Macaca mulatta: one gene and its partner. The protein of the gene in region 2 purifies or fractionates together with the protein of the main gene of each other region. This does not show direct contact. Links are inferred from orthologs where the notes say so. Each region holds a gene or a part of one and is shown on either strand. Other genes may lie near its edges. The genes, in order: MOB2 and STK38.

Region 1 (4,272 bases), on a different chromosome or scaffold from region 2:
ACTGTCTGCCCCCGCAGACAGGTCAGCAGCCCCAGACATAGCGAGCTTTCACCAGCCTACTGTGCCCTCCGCAGAGAGGCCCACTGAGAATGAAAAAGCCAAGATGGCACAAGGAATGCCTGCAGACACCTCAGACCAAACGTCCACACAGGCAGGTGCCGCTGCTGTGCTAGAACCTCAGCCCCACGTGGCTGCCATGCTCTGCTGCGCCTCTGCCCCTCCACGCGTCCGGCTCCCAGCCAGGGTGAAGCTCCAAGCGTCCGGCTCCCATCACTTCCCTTGAAACCTCCCTAAGCCCCAGGGAAGGGACTCTGCCCGTCTTCCTTAGGGCCTGGCTGGGCTCCAGGCCTGCCTCTGTGTTGCCTGTGGAGCTGGTTTCAGCATTTGGCCTCAGACACAAACACGCTGGCACACACACACGCACACATGCCAGTCCCCTCACACCACTGATGTCAGGCACCGTTCCTGATTTGAACTCAACGAGTTCTGCCAACCTGCCCACACATTTCCAAAACCTCCCAGTTTCACCTTAAGATAGGACATCTTCGGCAGGGTCCCCGGGAGGCACCCTTGCGTCTACTTGTGGAGTCCTCCGTGTTGAACGCACAGGTGATCAGGAGACAGGGAAGGAACCCATGAAGAGAAAGATGGAGCCAGGTGCCCAGGGACAGGCAGAGGCACGGAGATGCAGACGCGTGCCACAGCCCCCGCCCCTGGAGGGCACGTCCAGCAGGCCACGCTCGCCTCACACCCCTACCAGGCAACCCCACCAGGGAGGACGCGCCCACTGCTGCAGCTGGCTGTGCCTGCCCCACTCCCCTGGCCCCTCATGCCCACACACAGGTAGGTGCAGACCCCCCCCACACACAGGTGCACGCGCCCACACACGGGCGCACATTCCCACACACGCCTGTGCACACACCCAGCTGAGTGGTGTGGACAGGGAGGCACCCCTGCAGCAGGTCAGAGAAAGTACAGGTAAGAAAAGTCAAAATGGATTTTCCGGCAACATCCCTATGGCAGCCAGCACAAAACCAGGTACCCAGGAGCCCCATGCCACTTCTCTGGACAAGGCCACACAAGGACAGGCTCCAGGTCACCTCTGCCTGAGTGGCTGAAGCCCCTGCCCAGGGCACAAGCAGCCGAGGGCTGGGACAAAGACAGGCACACCTGCTGGTGGCGGAGGCACCACACCCTGCGGGCTGCGGGCGGACGCGGCAGGCTCCTGCGCTGGCAAGGTGGGTCAGCCCTGAAGGCCGAGGACACCGAGCCCTGCTCCTCTCCCACAGAGCAGCAGGAAGTGCAGGCGGCTAAGGAAAGCTCGACTCGGCAGGGCTCCAGAGCAAACCCGCCAGGCTGGCCCGGGACTGCACAGCTGCCTCTGCCCTGGACAGCATGCCGGTTGCCCGGCACAGCTTGCTGCACAGCCGCCGGCCACACAGGGAGGGCAGCCATGGACACAGTCCGCTGCCTCCCCAGCCTGACGTCCTGGGGGCAAGAACAGGACAGACAGACAGATGTCCTACACACCGCTCCCCCAGCCAGGCCAGCAGGTGTTACCTGAGCATTTTGCTGACAGCCTGAAGCACCATTTTGCAGCAGAGTCCAGTTTGCGGGGACTGGCTGGGCAGGGCTTGGTCTTCAGGGAGACTGCAGTGGTCTCCCAGCATGATGTGGGCGATGGGGAGGTGGGGAGGGCAGTTGAGGGGAGGTGAGGAGGGGAGGTGAGGAGGGGAGGTGGGGCGGGGTGCTGGCTGGCCAGCACTCACAAGTGCCTGCTGCCGGGCCCTGCAGCCTCTCTCGGCCCTCCACCCTCACTCCCTGACCAATGGGACGCCTGGCAGAGACAAACAGCTGCTCCCTTTCCAGAGGCAAGGGCCGGCCAAGGCTGGTTAAATAAGGGAGCATCTGAATCGGCCTTTCCAAAGTGGCACAGCTGTCAGAAAAGGCGGTGGGGGTGGGACCAGAAGGGAAGGGACAGGGCCGTCCTCGGCCTGCAAGAAGGACCCATCAGAGAGGTCCCGGGGTCCACCTCAAGGTCCTCTGGTGCCAAGCCCCCAGGAAAGCCCTTCTGAACACAGGTAGCAGCTCTGCTGATGAGCTCCAGGTTGATGGCACCCCCTCACCCTTGTCCGGCCCAGCCCAGCCCAGTCACTACTCGGGCTGGGGACAGACAAGATGGGCCGCCCTGCCCTGCAGTGTGTACACAACTGGAGGCACTCAAAGTGGCTCTCCCACTGGATGGCCCTGGGGAGAGACGGGGCCAACCAGCTTCTGGGGTGCCTGGACGGTGCTGGGCTGAGGCTGCGGCCAGCCAGGGCCACAGGGCACCCAGCCCAACAGAAACGCCCAGAGCAGCTCCCCATGGGGGCACACGGAGGGGCACGGCCCTGGCCTTCCTTCTGGCTGGCCTGCACACAGTAAGACCGCCACGCCCCGAAAATGCAAACACCTGAGAGGACAATGTTGTCTCCTCGTCCTGAGTCAGTGTGGACCCCACTGGCAGCGACAGCCCCTGACAACACGGGCTCATCAGAAGCCCCACCCACCCACATGGGAGCCGTACTTCCTGTGCTTCCTGCCAATCAAGAGACCCCAGCATCTCCAGCCACTGCCCCTCAGAAGCTGTCCCAGCACCTCTGTCGGTGTGAAGCCCTGCAGGAGTCAGGACACAGCCCGCAGCACCGGCTGCTGCGGGGAGCACACGGCCATCAGGAAAGCAGCCAGGGCTCACCCCTATCAACACCAGCCACCATGGGAGCTGTGGTGTCTCGACTGCATGCACACACACAGCCTGGGCGCACGGGGAGATGGCCAGCACAGACACACTCTCCAGGAGCCACGGCGGAGGAGGATGGCCCCAGGCCAGCCCCGCCTCCCTAAGCAGCAGCAGCAGCAGCAGCAGCAGCAGGCCCAACAGGCTGCAGTTTCATTTTCCCCACTAGGCCAGTCCCTAAGCCACGCTCTGAGCAGTGCGGAACTCGTCTCTACAGAACGAACAGCCCGGTGAGGCTCAGGATGTCCACGTGCCCATGGGCCTTCCTCTGCCCTGACAAGGCCATCCCACAGCCCTGTGGTGCCACACACACCCAGGCACCGTGCTCCCGGCTGCCGCTCTGCCCTCAGGGGCTCCACCAACAGTAGGGACACAGGTGCTGGCAGATCACCCAAGCAGCAAAGGGAGCCACAGGAAGAGCGGGCTCCGGGCGTGGGGAGGCCCCCGTGAGTAGCAGGGCTGGGACCAGAAGGTGCACGATGCAGACCTGCCCACTCTTGGGAGGCATGAGCTGCTGGGGGCTGGAGGGCACAACACAAGGCACGCTGGGGATGGTGGAAGCTTTGGGCACAAGAAGCCAGAAAACGAGGCACGGCAGCGGTGAGGGTGGCATGGGGGAAGGGAAACAGCACAAGGTGCCAGGTAGGGTGGGCAGAGCACATCAAATGTGCCCAGTGGGTCTGGTCAGCACATGGCAGCTATGTGGCTTATGCCACTGTCCTGAGAAGGCTGGGCTGGCATGCGGAGGAACGTCCACCTTCTTCTGTGTTTGTTCACTGGGGCACACGTGCAGGGAGCAGGTATTCCTATTGATCAAAACTTAGGGGGTGCGGCGGTGGTGGGGAGGGCCAGCCGGAACCCACAGACACTGAGCTACAGATACCACACTGGGAAGAGGAGCAGACGCAGAGCAGGCCCTGCAGACTCCACGGGGAGCTGCCACAGAGGCCCGCAGGCCAGTGACAGGTGCCGGTGTGGCCTGACCCCGCCACCCCAGAAAAGGAAGAGCAAAAGCACCTTCCGGGCACAGCCAGGGCCAGGAACAGAGAGCACAGGAGCGGGGCAGAGGCACCGCGCAGTGGGGAGCAGTCGGAACCAAGGCGGGATGGGGCGGGGGCACGAGTCATATGTCTGTGTCGGAAGTTATTTTACCTTTAATAAGCTTTTCGTTTTTAGAAAAGTGTTAGATTTACAAAGAAGCTGCAAACACAGAATCCCCACAGCCCCACACTCACTCTTCCTATTGCTAACCCTTACACTAGCATGGCCTGTTCGTTAACAATGAACGAATCCATATTGACGCAGCAAGGTCCACACCTGACTGGATCCACGTGCTGCTCTCCTCATGATGAGGCTGGGCTGTGGGTGTGGGGAGGAAGAGCACAGAGGGAAACGTCCCTCTCGTCGCCCCGTACCCAAGGCCCGTCCTGTCAGCGCGGCTCATCGCGGGAGGTGCTGCCCGATCTCCTGGCTGAGGTTGTGACTGTCAGGTCTCC
Region 2 (4,532 bases):
TTGTCTGAAAATTCCTGAAGAAATTACATATATGTAGTTACATTTTAACAACTGAAATTACTTCAACATAAAAATGTAACAATTTGCCAGGGCACTGGTGCATGCCTGTAATCCCAGACTTTGGGAGGGAGATGTAGGAGACTGCTTGAAACCAGTCTGTGCAACATGGCAAAACCCGTCTCTACAAAAAAAATACAAAAAATTGGCCAGGTGTGGTAGCGCACACCTGTAGTCCCAGCTACTCAGGAGGCTGAGGTGGGAGGATTGCTTGAGCTGGAGAGGCAGAGGTTTCAGTGAGTTCGGCTTGTGCCACTGCACTCCAGCCTGGGACAGAGCAAGAACCTGTCTTAAAAACAGCAACAACAACAACAACAAACAAAACACAACAATCTGCTAATATTTAACCCTAAGGCACACAGTGCCATCCATATAACAGGCAGTTAATAAATGTAAGTTGAACAAGTTAATGATTTTTAGTTGTCAACAAAGCTAAAGAATAAAGATGGCTGGACACAGTGGCTCATGCCTATAATCCCAGCACTTTGGGAGGCCGAGGCAGGTGGATCACCTGAAGTCAGAAGTTGGAGACCAGCTTGGTCAACATGGTGAAAGCCCGTCTCTACTAACGATACAAAAAAAAAAAAAAAAAAAAAGCCGGGCATGGTGGCGGGCACCTGTAATCCCAGCTACTTAGAGGAGGCTGACACAGGAGAATCGCTTGAACCCTGGAGGCAGAGGTTGCAGTGAGCCAAGATCACACCACTGCACTCTAGTCTGGGTGGCAGAGTGAGAATCCTTTTCAAAAAAAAAAAAGAATAAAGACTACATTTACACTGATGGGTATATCAAAAATGTTTTGACTAATTTAAGTAGCTGGCATTACTACCTAAACTTTTAAAAAGATCAAAAGGACAATAAATGAACTCAAAGATGCTCAAATATTAGACCAACAAATTCTTAAGCAGAGTGTTTTTCAACTTTTAGAGTTTCTAATAAAATGATAAAGATTGCACTCTCCTTCCCTTTGACCTTTTAAACCCTCCTCCACTTCCTCTATTGTAATATTAAAAATTTAGCCTAATTCTAATATCCTTTAATCAAAAGATGTAATTAATATTGCCCTATAGCAATTCATAGGTTTACGGGTCGGCCAACTTTTCTTAAGACAGAACTATCCCTCAGGCTTTCCATAATTCAAGCCTTCCTGCCCTGACCTAGAAGCCATTGGAGGCCTTTGCCCTGTTTGTTTCATTCTTCAGCTCTGCACAATTAGGAAATAACAGGTGGCTGAGAAATTCTTCAAAGTTTTAAAAATTAACAAAAGGAATTGATCCTCATAAAAGTCAGGCTAAGGCCTGCAAACTCAAAAGGAAGTCAAATGAAAAGCATTATGCGATTCAATCTATATGGTTATGCCTGGCTAACTGATTGACTTTACAATGGTACTCTATGATCACTATAAATAACCCTCTCGCAACAATCTGGACTTCATTTCTTTGCGGCTGACAACCCATTATCTTTCATTTGGACGATTCAACATTGAAGCTAAGATTACTGCTTAAGCCGCACGTCTAATTTCTCCCACTGAACTGTAAATCCTACTGAACAGTAATCCCTACCTACACTAGAAAGCAAGCACCACGTCTTATGCTTGTTTTAATGTTCGTCCCCCATTTCATGCACAGTGCTATGCACTTAGCACCTTAAGAAAGATTAACTAGGAAAAATACCCATTTTTGATGGCCATTCCGAGCGTGAGGTGTTTATGTGTGATGTTTATGTGTGATGGGGGATAGGGCTGGGACATGAAATGGTTTGCTATAGCGTTCTCTCCTCTTACGAGGAAGCTAGTATCTAACGTTTAGGGTGGGGAGGAGAGTCTGTTATCGTAGTGGTGGTTGTTTTATGTTTAGGGAAACCAAATATACTGCCTGGCTAATTCAGAGGCAGGGTGAGTTGAAAGGGTGGAGACACTCAGGGTCTACTTCACTCCAACCCTCCTCGGTGCATTTCAAAAAGAACAAGTTTCTCTCCGTGTCTTTTAGTCGTTTCAGAGTGAACTGAGAGATCTGGTCTCTCTGCCGGCCGTGCTGCCCGCTTTCTGACACAGACTTTCCTCTCAGCCCTTATCGACTTTTTCCTTTCCTCTGGCTGTTGCTTTTCCACTCTCTTCTTAAGAAACTTCCCTGCCTTTCCTGTGATTTTAAGCTTATCTGAAGCCCAGTATCTTAAGACTAACGGAGAAAGGAGCCGACTCAAAGATACCACACCCCAAGGGGGCTTTCGACATCTCTGCCTCAGACTACAGTTCACAGACCCCAGAAGGAAAAGGAGATGAAAACTGGTGATGACCGAGATCCCTGAGGGACTGACTGGTGGCAGGGAGCAGACAAAGGTGGCAACATGGAAAGGAGAGCCTGGCTCCCGCTCCAACTGCAGAAGGAGAAAGAGAAAGGACGGGGTGGAGAGGCTGGGACTGGGAAAATGTGGAGGGCCAACAAGGGGCATCTGGAGACGGGGGAAGAAGAGGGCTGAGGACAGGGGAGGAGAGGGGACGAGAGGCTGAGAGGTTAGGGCTTGAAAGAGGGCGTCGGCGAGAAGGAGAAAGCCCGAGGAGTCGGCGGTTGGGGAAGGAGGAGATAAAGGAAGAACCCTGGGATGGAGTGAAGACGTCGGCAGCAAGCAACTCACCAGAGCCCCGGGAGAGGCAGGGCTGGGGGCGGCGGAGAGCCGCAGACGCCCCTTCTACCAGTAGTCTCGACGTGAAGGCTGGCGAAGCCCCGGCGGCGGCAGCCAACGAGCCAAAGACGGGAGGGGACGCGTGAGGGTCTCTGAGACAGGGGGCGACGGGCTGTTGCGGGTGAGGACAACAGGAAGCGTTCCAACTGCCGGAAAAGACGGGAGCGCTAAGGGGCCAAGGCAGCCTGGTCCCCCGCCGCGGAGACGGGCTGGAGCGGCAACCCGGGGCCGAGACTACGCATGCGCGACTTCCCGGTGAGGCCGGGATTGAGGGACTGCGCGTGCGTGGCCCCGCCTTGCCCCTCCCTTCACCCCCAGTCTGGAGCTGGCGGGACCTGGGTGAGGCCAGATGTGTGAGTGTGGGGCGGTGGCGAAGTAGGCTGGGCTGAGGGGGAAGTTCCCTTGTTTTCTTTTATTTTACTTTTTACTTCGAAATAATTATGGACTCACAAGAAGTTGCAAAATTAATATATACAGGTTCCGTATACCGTCACCCACTCAGCTTACCTCAACATTTTTCATAAGATACAACATTCTCAAAGCCAGGAAATTGACATTGTCACAATACAGTTAACTAAACCAATACAATTAACTTCATTACAGACCATACTCGGATTTAACCTGTTTGGCATGCAGTCATGTGCGTGTGTATGTGTGTGTAGTTATATGAAATGTTATCACCTGTATAGTTGCCACCTACTCCCCTACCCCGTGTAGAGCAGGTCTGCTGGAGCCTTTGGCCCCCCTCCTCTTCCTCAAAGTAAGGACCTTACCTGGGATAAGGTGAGCTCTCATAGGTTTGGGAGGTTGCCCAGAGGGCGACCCAGTGTGGACAGAAGAACGTGCTTTTCAAGGCCACCCAACTCTTATTCTGTACTACTTTAGGGGGTAAAGAGGTCCCAAGTTTCATGGCCTTTGGGCACTCCTCGTTTCTTGAGAATGGAGCACAATGCCCTCAACTACAAAGTGTCAGGCTCCTGGAAACTAAGATGAATGAGACATGGTCCCTGACTGCCTGCAAAGGGGTCATCTAGGGAGAGAAGGAAGCATGTGCTGCGAGTCATTAATTCATTTCATCTTCAAAGCCCAGTTTCCTTTTGTCTAGCCTCTTACAAAAATCACTTCTGGCCAGGCACCGTGGTTCGTGCCTGTAATTCCAGCACTTTGGGAGGTCCAGGTGGGAGGATCGCTTCTTGAGCCCAGGAGTTTGAGACCAATCTGGGCAACATAGGAGACTCCACCTCTTAAAAAATGTTTTTAGTTGGCCAGCATGGTGGCACGTGCCTGTGGTCCCACCTACTGGGGAGGATGAAGCAGGAGGACTGATTGAGCCCAGGAGTTCAGGGCTGCTATGAGCCATGATCATGACACTGCACCCCGGCCTGGGCAACAGAGGGAGATCCTGTCTCAGTCAATCACTACATACATATCAATCAATCACTTCGCCTTTCATTCTCTCTGCCCAGAGGCCCTTCTCCCCAAATGCCTGTTGTCAAAGTCCTACCCATCCTTAAGCTTTTAATAATAGTCCAAGATGTTTGCATAATGCTTTACAGTTTACAAACAACTTTCACTTATTTCATCTCACTAGGTCCTCACTTTGGCAGTGACACAGGAGGTTTTGCAGATAAAGTAATTGACACTCAGAGAAGCTAAGTGACTTGCCTGAATTCCCACGGCTAGTAAGCCAAGTAACCAAGAGGGGAACCCCATTTCCTGTCTGCAAATCCAATGTTCTTTCTCCTTTTCCCTTTCCTTCCTCCAAAGCCCAGCTCAAACCTTATCTTCCTCCT

What was found.
Region 1: the proteins of STK38 (region 2) and MOB2 purify together in Homo sapiens (affinity purification with mass spectrometry; 7 studies listed by BioGRID and IntAct, with this or other methods). This does not show direct contact. The link is inferred for Macaca mulatta from reciprocal best matches to the Homo sapiens genes STK38 and MOB2.

What each region holds. Positions count from the first base shown.
Region 1 is NC_133419.1:1,384,015-1,388,286, forward strand, and holds the start of MOB2 (MOB kinase activator 2), read right to left. Parts: upstream 2,805-4,272; 5' UTR 1,671-2,804; coding exon 1,561-1,670; intron 1-1,560. UniProt on the Homo sapiens protein: Stimulates the autophosphorylation and kinase activity of STK38 and STK38L.
Region 2 is NC_133409.1:145,706,785-145,711,316, reverse strand, and holds the start of STK38 (serine/threonine-protein kinase 38), read right to left. Parts: upstream 2,955-4,532; 5' UTR 2,692-2,954; exon of another isoform or gene 786-2,691; intron 1-785. UniProt on the Homo sapiens protein: Serine/threonine-protein kinase that acts as a negative regulator of MAP3K1/2 signaling. Converts MAP3K2 from its phosphorylated form to its non-phosphorylated form and inhibits autophosphorylation of MAP3K2.